Linked DNA regions of Arabidopsis thaliana. The protein of the gene in region 1 interacts with the protein of each later gene in a pairwise test. Each region holds a gene or a part of one and is shown on either strand. Other genes may lie near its edges.

What was found.
Region 2: the proteins of UMAMIT41 (region 1) and STP4 interact in a protein complementation assay, tested with the Arabidopsis thaliana proteins (one large-scale study listed by BioGRID).

The regions. Positions count from the first base shown.
Region 1 is NC_003074.8:10,440,914-10,446,077, forward strand, and holds UMAMIT41 (nodulin MtN21 /EamA-like transporter family protein), read left to right. Parts: upstream 1-1,694; 5' UTR 1,695-2,070; coding exon 2,071-2,261; intron 2,262-2,349; coding exon 2,350-2,415; intron 2,416-2,925; coding exon 2,926-3,039; intron 3,040-3,187; coding exon 3,188-3,416; intron 3,417-3,508; coding exon 3,509-3,670; intron 3,671-3,778; coding exon 3,779-3,930; intron 3,931-4,113; coding exon 4,114-4,303; 3' UTR 4,304-4,518; downstream 4,519-5,164. Other genes in the region: UMAMIT43-psi (Nodulin MtN21 /EamA-like transporter family protein), read left to right, coding at 5,081-5,164.
Region 2 is NC_003074.8:6,932,370-6,937,809, forward strand, and holds STP4 (sugar transporter 4), read left to right. Parts: upstream 1-2,198; 5' UTR 2,199-2,678; coding exon 2,679-2,811; intron 2,812-2,897; coding exon 2,898-3,217; intron 3,218-3,298; coding exon 3,299-3,928; intron 3,929-4,010; coding exon 4,011-4,472; 3' UTR 4,473-4,828; downstream 4,829-5,440. UniProt on the Arabidopsis thaliana protein: Mediates an active uptake of hexoses, probably by sugar/hydrogen symport. Can transport glucose, methylglucose, galactose, xylose and mannose, but not fructose.

The DNA.
Region 1 (5,164 bases):
TCACAAAATAGAATAGTATCTCTCAAAAATCTTCCAAAATCAAAATCGATTTATTGGCTATTTCCCTTTAGAATTTCCAACATCGTAAACCCTTTATCGCTTCTAGATCTAAGAAATCCATAACATGATCGTCAATTTGTTGTTCATAATTCTCAATTTTATTTTCCATGGATTTACAAATTAAAATTCTCATATGAACTTTGATGGGAAAGTGAAGATTAATTTGACATAATTGGCGAAAGGATTTCACCGGATTTTTCTAGTATTCTCTGGCTGACGAAGAATAAATATAGTCAGAGTATTATTGCGCTAATGGTGTTGTTATAAAATAGAGTAAATCAGATTTGAGTGATCCTATCGACATTTAAGATTGATCCATATATAATTTTGACTTTTGTTTAGTTGATGGTGATGTATGTAAAGATTCGTAAGAAAAGGGCGAGATAGATGAAAGGAGCACACTTCATAAAAGAGAAGAAGATTTATTCACAAGGATGTCTTTTGAAGAAGAAAGAAGAAGGAGAGCGAGATGTACAAACACAGTAAGAAAAGGGAGAGAGAGATGAAAGGAGCACACTTCATAAAAGAGAAGAAGATTTATTCAATAGGATGTCTTTTGAAAAAGAAAGAAGAAGGAGAGCGTGATGTACAAACACATGATAGTATTGTCAATATTATATATATTATACATAATATTTTTTTCTATTGTTTGAAGTGTTAGTTTACCAATTAAAGTATTTTTGTTGGTTATATTTGCCAATTCCCCAAGTATTTATACCATTTTCGAAGTTTCGACATAAGTTAAAAAGGATATAAGAACCGGAAAAATAACGAAAATCTACAGAAAGAACAGACAATGACAAAACAACAAAGGAGGAAAACATATGTATAGAGCGAAAACAAAAGAAGAAACACCGATTCCAAAATGCCAAACTCGGAAATTTGCGTGATTTCCTCCACAACTCCAAGAAGCTGGAGTCTCATCCTAAGTTGTATACCTAATTTGTTTACAGAAGTTATCTATGGTGCTAAAAAAAATGGTTTTAACACTTGAAAAAAAAGCTTTTACTAAAGTTATATATATATGGTTTAGTGGTTTTCTTTAGTGTATGAGTCGATATGAGAGGACAGTAAAAGATAAATCATTTTTTATATAAAAAAGCTGTTGAATATTATTTGTTATTTGTGATAAACAATTTGAATAGTAAAACATGTTACATAATTTCTTTAGCTAGTGCTTATAGAAAATTGATTTTAAAACAAAATAAAGATAAAAGTTAGTTTCTATTCAAAAAATTGAAAATGATTGCCACATCATTTAAAACTAAAAGTTAAAAATTAAAGGTAAAATTGGTTTTTTTTTTTTGAAATCGCTTTAATTGTAAGGGTAAAAGTGGATATTTGTTTTTACTGAAATCATGAGTATGAAAATAACAGCAATTTTTTTTGGATAATAAACGCACATTTTAATTATTATGTGTATTTTTTCCAACCAAAAATAATTGAGTATTCAACGTCTAGATAAAAAAGAGACTGAGATTTTTTTCGACTTTTTCTCCAAAAAAAACGAAGTTCCAAAAATAATGATGAAATTAGTAGTGGTAAATGGTCAATTTAAATCCGTTGCTACAAATCAAAATTTAAATCTGTAAATTAACTAAATCTATTAAATTATTAATGAAAACCAATGTAAAAAGAATCTCAACTTCTCAAGCATACTTTGTTTCAAATATTCTACTATTCAAAATACTCCCTTAAATCATAACCTGAAACTCACATAAGCTGATCCAAAATTGAATTTCATTCCACAATTTTTCTCTTAAACTTCATATAAACATGTCAGCATGTTACACGGCCTTTTTTGTCTGCTTCATATATCTCTCAAGTGTGTGTACTACACAATAACATTTCCTGAAAATCTAACTTTCACCCACTCACCATCTTTTCTTCTCTCTTTCCCCATCAAAAAAAACAAAAACAAAACACAACTCTGTTTCTCTCATCTTAAAATTCATGTAAAAAAAATCTACAAATCAAAGAGAGAAACAGAGTAAAGAGAAAGAGAAGAAGATGGCGCGGAAATACTTTCAGAGAGAAGTTTTGCCGGTAACGGCTTTGGTAATAATGGAATGTGCAAACGTTGGTTTAAACACTCTGTTTAAAGCAGCAACTTTGAAAGGCATGAGCTTTCATGTCTTCATCGTTTACTCTTATGGTCTCGCTGCTCTGCTTCTTCTTCCTTCTCTGTTTTGCTCTTTCAGGTCTCTCTCTCTTCTTGATTCGATCTCGATACTAAATTTTTCATCTAATCTTGAAAATTGGCTAATCGGTTCTTGTTTAATTTCACAGATCAAGAACTCTTCCACCGATGAATTTCTCTATTCTCTACAAAATCGTGCTCTTAGGGATTATTGGGTAAAAGTCTCATCTCTTGAAATTTTCTACCAAATAAAAAATTCTCAGTTCTTGAAATTTTTCTTTAATTTCAAGCAATACCTGAGTGTTGCTGAAATAGGTTAATTTGATCTTTAATTACCTGATTAGATCAAATTTTTTGCATGAGTGTTACTGAAATTCTCAGTTTTTGTTTACCAAAATTTAGAGAATAAAAAGTATAGAAAGAGACATTTGGCTTAAAGTTGGTTCCAAAAGCTGCAACTTTACTGCAAAAATCTAAAAACATTATTATTATTATAAACAAAAATAAATTCAATTTTTGGGGGTTTATTTATATGATTTAATCTTAGTAAAAAAATGGAATATATTATTTGGTTTTGGTTATAAAATTTTTGATTAATAAAAGTGTGTGTTGACAATGTATATAGATGCTGTTCATGATTTATTCTTAGTAAAAAGTGGAATATATTATTTTGTTTTGGTTATAATTATTTGATTAATAAAAATGTGTGTTGATAATGTATATAGATGCTGTTCAAACATAATGGGATACACAGGGATAAATTATAGTTCTCCAACACTTGCTTCTGCAATCAGCAACCTCACTCCTGCTTTCACCTTCTTGCTTGCAGTCGTTTTCAGGTTTGACAACAACATTTCTATATCCTATTTGACATATTCCTTTTACATTATCAATTTACAAAATTACCCTCCGTCCATTAACTGTATATGGGCCTTATTGTTTAGCCCATGAGGTTATGATTTGAAAACGTTTGGTGTAATGTTGTAGGATGGAGAGTGTGTCTTTTAAGAGAACAAGTAGTGTGGCTAAAATGTTAGGAACCGTTGTTTCTATTGGAGGTGCATTTATAGTGACTCTTTATAATGGTCCTGTTGTGATTGCTAAATCGCCACCGTCTGTTTCTTTGCGATCGCAATCGACTAACCCTAATTGGATACTTGGTGCGGGTTTCCTTGCGGTCGAGTATTTCTGTGTTCCATTGTGGTACATTGTTCAGGTCTGAACTCTATATGCATATATAACATATATGTCACTATGTGAGTTTTTTGGTTTTCTGATAGAATCATATGTTCTCAATATTTTTTGTAGACTCAAATCATGAGAGAGTATCCGGCCGAGTTTACCGTTGTTTGCTTTTATAGCATAGGCGTTAGCTTTTGGACCGCGCTAGTCACATTGTTCACTGAAGGGAATGACTTGGGTGCATGGAAGATAAAACCGAATATAGCTTTAGTGTCGATCGTTTGCTCGGTGAGAATATAATTACACTCATGTGTTTTTCCCTAGAGATTATGAGTGTGATTAGTTTTTTGACAAGCAAAATGGTTTTATTTTGGTTGATTCTATTTCTATGTTTAGGGATTGTTTGGATCTTGCATAAACAATACTATCCACACGTGGGCATTGCGGATCAAGGGGCCTTTATTTGTTGCAATGTTCAAGCCATTGTCTATTGCAATTGCTGTTGCAATGGGAGTTATCTTCCTGCGAGATTCTCTCTACATCGGCAGGTACAAAAACAACTCACACTTTTATTTAAATAGTAACGGGTGAGTCCAAGATTAGTTTGGGACTTGCGGTTATGTTAGAACCATACCTCAAAAAACTGTGGAAAATATTAACTAGTCATTCTCTAATTCTCAGCTCACTTTAACTCTTTTGGTTTCCTTTCTTTGCTTGAATGATGATCCCAGCTTGATCGGGGCAACGGTAATAACAATCGGGTTTTACACGGTAATGTGGGGAAAAGCCAAGGAAGTGGCCTTGGTCGAAGATGATAACAAGGCTAACCACGAGGAGGCCAATGAAGCTGACCTTGATTCTCCATCGGGTTCACAGAAGGCTCCTCTCTTGGAAAGTTACAAGAACGATGAACATGTATGAGTATCATCAACTAGTGAAGATCACGCTATATATATATGTGTGAAAAAATTCATATGTGAATTGTCTTTGTAATTTATTTGATGAGACAAATGTGATCTTTAATTTTAGGATCCAAGTGTTTTCTAATCACAATCTAACAAGTCCTTTTTATATCCTTTTTTTCTTAGTCTTTCACATGATTTACACTAGAATGATTCCAATATCCTTAAGAATAAGACTAATTCTTCACTTAAGATTTAAGAACATCTTTTAGTGATAACTGATAACTACAGGTTTTGGCGACCAATTTTCATTTGTTTTATAGTCCTTGATAGTGGTGACGATATGTCCTGGATTTAAGACTTACTATGAACTGGAAAATTAATTGCTCATCAAGAAAAGATATTTAACCTAAAAATCTCAAAAATTATCCTAAAAATCTTTGTCCTCATAACTATAATTAAGTTACTAATTAACTAATGGTTAGACATTTTTTTTTTTTAACTATATAGTAATAGTGTAATAATAATTGTTGAAAGTGGTTTTTACTTTTACTGCGGTGGGATGCAAAAGTAAGTTGAAGTTGAGATTCTAAAGCTCCTAAATTGGTCAAACCGTCAAACCAGAGTTTCAGATTCAGACAATCAAAAACAAAACAAAAAAAATGGCTGGGAGATTCTGTCAAAGAGACGGCGGGATCATGACGGCAATGGTGGCGGTGGAGATTCTGACAGAGTGTAGCCAAAGTAGTTGGAACAATAGTTTGCATTGTGGGTGCACTTGTGGCAACTCTATACCATGGCCCCATCGTCTTCGCCGCATCTAAGCCGTCCTTTTATCTCCTTCAGCGTCTTTCGGCACCTCCCTCGCAACCGTCCAATT
Region 2 (5,440 bases), 3.5 Mb from region 1:
CGCTAAAGATTACAAATTTTAGAGGCAAATTATTTGCGATATCGAGATGTGACTGGTTAGGAGAAACTTCGGAAGGTCACACGCTATCTAAACCACTATACCAGGTTGGAAGTCTCCAACTAAAGATGTTTGACAACTTTTTGTCATCGAAAAATGATCAGAAAGCGGTGTTTTTAACTATTCTCCGATAAATATTGGTAAGAATTTGATCTATTATGGTGAGTACATTATCCAGGTTTATATAGATATGGTAAATTATGTTTTGAGTTGGGTCTAGTTAGTGGCAAAGCATAGAGCAACCGATTGCATATAGTTTCCGGTGAATATGATATAACTAACACATGATGGTTATAATGAATAATTATGTCGAATACCATGCGGCGGATCATATGTTTTAGGCTGTATATGCCATACGTGATCTTGGATGACATGTCTTTTTTTCGAGATGATAACATTTATTAGTCGGTCGCTTAATTGATTTCGAGTTTTCTGTTGCCATTTTAAATACACATTTGCGTCAAAAAAAAAAACGAGTTTGCTGTCTCGAAAATAGCACCAATGCCCATTATTTCTTAATTGTATTTTTTCGGCTAAGGTTTCTAATTATTAATTTATTATCAAAACCTTACATATGGTAATGGTACACTGTACGAGTTTTTGGTTGTCTTGTGTTTTTCAATTTGTTCTTCCTCTTTATGTTTTGAGTTTTGTTGTCCTGTTTCATTTTATTCTTACTTTTGTTTTCTCTGAATTTTGTTTTCAGTGAACGTATAATTTAAAAATCTGCAATACAAACAAACAAATATCTAAAAGTCAAGTTGGCTTTACGCATGTGATCGACGAAACACCTAATTGTCTTGTTCTTTTTCATTCGTCTGAATAATTTCATGAAATTAACAAGACAAAGGTTCACATTTATAAAAAGGGAACGAGAGCAATCAAACTACAGAAGATCACTACATCAAAATAACGCATTTCTCAGATTCTCAGATTCAAACACATTCACCTAATTGTTTTGTTCTAGCTAGGCCTTTTAGCTATACAAATTTTGCATTAACATTACAATTTCCATCGGCATGTAAACAATTAGCACTAACTAATTAATTAGTACTGCAATATATCAAACATAAAAGATGGTTAATTAATTCAGTGTCAAGTTGCTGATCCTAATGAGAATGCAGTGCTGAGACAAGATCTGATGAGTCTAACAAAAATGTGACTAATTCAAATCACATTAATTACTGTATGTAGCAAACATAAGATTATATATATAATATATCACACCAATTTATATAGGGAATAAAACATATCCTTGTATGCAATGCATAACGTAGTTATTAATATAGCCTTACATGAATAACGTCGTTAAGATAACGATATGACACTATAATGACGAAACCTTATGGGAACATCATGAAAATAATGTAACGCGAGTTTTGACTTTCCAATGTAAACGAAAGGAGTAGAAAGCAACGGAAGACTACGAATGAAAGTATGGAGCTACGTATAGTTTACGAAATAATTAATTATACATATAGAAAAGTAGTGAGTCAACTTTTCTTTCCATCGTAATCAATAGCCCAACTGTTTACTATCATTGTTTGAAATATCCTCTGACACAGAAATGTTATCTTATAGTCAATTTGACGTACAATATGCTCTCTTAATAAAATCAAGAAATCTAGTTTTTATCAAAAACTAAATTTTGTCCCCATTCCATGGATAATGTTAAAACATTACATTCATTATAGATCCATGCATGTGAATGAAAAGGCTCACGGGTAAAAAGGTTATTAAGGTATCAATATGACCTCAAATTTTGGATAGATATTGAAGATTTCATACCACTTTTTTTAGTGTCAAAAGACGGAAAAGTAATAACTAAACTATACTACTTTTAAAAGTTTGAAAATTGAAAAACAGATTTTACACCTAATTTAAAATATCAGATCAAAGATCTTATCTACAAGACTAAAATTAAACTAGTAGCGGTCTTTGCTGTCCATTGACCGAGTTTTGCGGGTGGTTTACTCATTTAAGTACCACAGCATCAAATTAAAATAACTGTCACTTGTCGAAAGTGACTAGATAAAACCAAAAATAGCTTTAATTGAGTCAAAATTGTAGTTCTAGTGCAAAGTAAAGAGTTATCATCTTACAAAATGCGACTCATTAGTGTATTAATTAATTAATTTTCAGTCCAATAATCTGGTTAATTTGGTAAACTATCCAAAGAGTAATTAAATGATTCCTCGTCATAAATACTAATTTTCTACGTTTTAAGCAAAAAAGACAATAATTATTTGGTCTGAAAACTAAAAAAAGACACGAGATTAAGGGAAGAAGATAACGATCTAGAGGAATAGGCAAGTGGAAGAACCAGAACAACAGCTGTTCTTTTCTTCTAAACTTCAGAAGTCAGCCGACAGTTAATTTCTCCTTTTTTTGAGGTTTTGTCGAATCCTATAAATTTCAACTAAACTCTTCTTCATTTTCAATATCAAATCTTGTCTTCTTCTTCTTCTTCTTCTTCTTTTTCTTCTTCTTACATTTGATTTCTCTGTCTGAATTCGAGAACCAGATCTACTAATTACCTGAGAGAAAAAAGATCTGCTCTGTTTGTCTGAAACAGACAGAAGTCAACAAATCTTTCATTTGTTTTTTAGCAAATCAAAGAAATGGCCGGAGGGTTCGTCAGTCAAACGCCGGGTGTTCGGAACTACAATTACAAACTGACACCGAAAGTGTTTGTGACATGTTTCATCGGTGCTTTTGGTGGTCTCATCTTCGGATACGATCTCGGGATCTCAGGTTTTTTTCTTTTCTTCAAGTCTTGTTCTTCTTTGATCTGATCTAGGAATTTCCGGTGACTAATTAGGGTTTCTATATTCTTGTAGGAGGGGTAACCTCAATGGAGCCATTCTTGGAAGAGTTCTTCCCTTACGTCTACAAGAAGATGAAGAGCGCACATGAGAACGAGTACTGTCGATTTGATAGTCAGCTTCTCACTCTCTTCACTTCGTCTCTCTATGTGGCGGCTTTGGTGTCTTCTCTCTTTGCCTCCACCATTACTAGAGTTTTCGGAAGGAAATGGTCGATGTTTCTCGGTGGTTTCACCTTCTTCATCGGTTCTGCTTTCAACGGCTTTGCCCAAAACATCGCTATGCTTCTCATTGGTCGTATCCTACTTGGTTTCGGAGTCGGATTCGCCAATCAAGTAAGCTCTAAAAACTGTCTTTTTCCTTGATGAAGAAGTAACACTGGTGGCTTAGTTAACTGGTTTTGTTTTGTGTTTCAGTCTGTACCGGTTTATTTATCAGAAATGGCTCCTCCGAATCTAAGAGGAGCTTTCAACAACGGGTTTCAAGTAGCGATTATCTTTGGTATTGTGGTTGCAACGATCATCAATTACTTCACCGCACAGATGAAAGGAAACATCGGATGGAGAATCTCTCTCGGATTAGCTTGTGTCCCTGCAGTGATGATCATGATCGGAGCTCTGATCCTTCCCGACACTCCCAACTCTCTCATCGAACGTGGCTACACCGAAGAGGCCAAGGAAATGCTTCAGTCCATCCGAGGAACCAATGAAGTCGATGAAGAGTTTCAAGATCTCATTGATGCAAGTGAGGAGTCCAAGCAAGTGAAACACCCATGGAAGAACATCATGCTTCCTCGTTACAGACCACAATTGATCATGACTTGCTTCATTCCTTTCTTTCAACAACTTACCGGAATCAATGTCATTACCTTCTACGCCCCGGTTTTGTTCCAAACCCTCGGGTTCGGTAGCAAAGCTTCCCTCCTATCAGCTATGGTAACGGGTATCATCGAGCTCTTGTGTACCTTCGTCTCTGTTTTTACAGTGGATAGGTTTGGAAGAAGAATCTTGTTCCTCCAAGGAGGTATCCAGATGCTTGTCTCTCAGGTAACACAAACGCCTAACCCTAACCCTACTATACGTTTCTTAATTGGCACTCAATATCTCAAAATATCGGTGTGTATTACAGATCGCTATTGGAGCCATGATTGGAGTCAAATTTGGAGTGGCTGGAACAGGAAACATAGGGAAAAGTGATGCCAATCTAATCGTGGCACTGATCTGCATCTATGTAGCGGGTTTCGCCTGGTCATGGGGACCGTTGGGATGGTTGGTTCCTAGTGAGATATCTCCACTAGAGATCCGATCAGCAGCTCAAGCCATAAACGTTTCGGTCAACATGTTCTTCACATTCCTTGTGGCTCAGCTCTTCCTCACTATGCTTTGTCACATGAAATTCGGACTATTCTTCTTCTTCGCCTTCTTTGTTGTCATAATGACAATATTCATCTACTTGATGTTGCCTGAGACAAAGAATGTGCCAATCGAAGAGATGAACAGAGTGTGGAAGGCACATTGGTTCTGGGGAAAGTTTATTCCTGATGAAGCTGTCAATATGGGTGCTGCTGAGATGCAACAGAAGTCCGTATGATGATGATCAAGAATGAAGTTTTCTTTGGGCAATAAAGATTTATGAGAAAAGAGAAAGTGAATAATTCTTGGGATGAAATAAGAATAATTGTCAAAAATGCCTTACTTCCTAAAAGAAAGCTGCTCTGTCTTTAGCTTCAGAGACTTAGCTTTCATTGTTTCTTCTTTCTTCTTTTTTAATGTTTCTTTGTTGAAATTGTTATTTGGGGCCTAAAGATGTAAAAACAAAAAAAAGAACAAAATTATTTAAAAATGGTTTCTTATTTTACATTTCATTGAATCTTTATTTGAGAAAAATAGTGTTAACGCTTTATGCAAGAAACAAGAATAGTCATCACTCATCAATCGATATTCCAGTTTATCCTTACCATTTTTTTCTTTCCAATGATTGCGGTACCTCTTCAGCTCTTCTTTGCAACAAATTTTGTGAGAAAGTAATTTCACATTTTCGAAAACTGATCGTTTAATATAACTTAAAACTATCACTCATCTAGTGACGGTATTACAATTTCCCAAAAAAAAAAAGTTAGAAATAATACAAGTACTGATGTGCATCAGTGCATGGATGAATAATTGAGTACAGAGTCAAAAACTCCCGACCAAACCTAGCAGTGATATTACCTTTAAACTTTGATAGCATATATCAAACTGAGATTGACCTATGAATATGATGGCAACGAGCTCGTGGAAACTGGTAACTGAAGATTCTTTTTTTTTGTCTATTTGGTTTCATTGCCTGAAACTCCCTATAACGTTTTCCAATTCTTTCTTTCAAATTACGCATTGTAAATAACATTATTTTTGTTGAAAGATATTTAAGATTATTAAAAAATTCAAATTGATCTATATAGTACCAATTCTTTTTTCTGAATGTGATCATGAGAGAGTGTGTGTGTGTGTTTCGTTTTGTCAACGAATTATGAATTTGCTACGTACGTGACAAGTTTCTATGATTTTGAAAGAGAATTA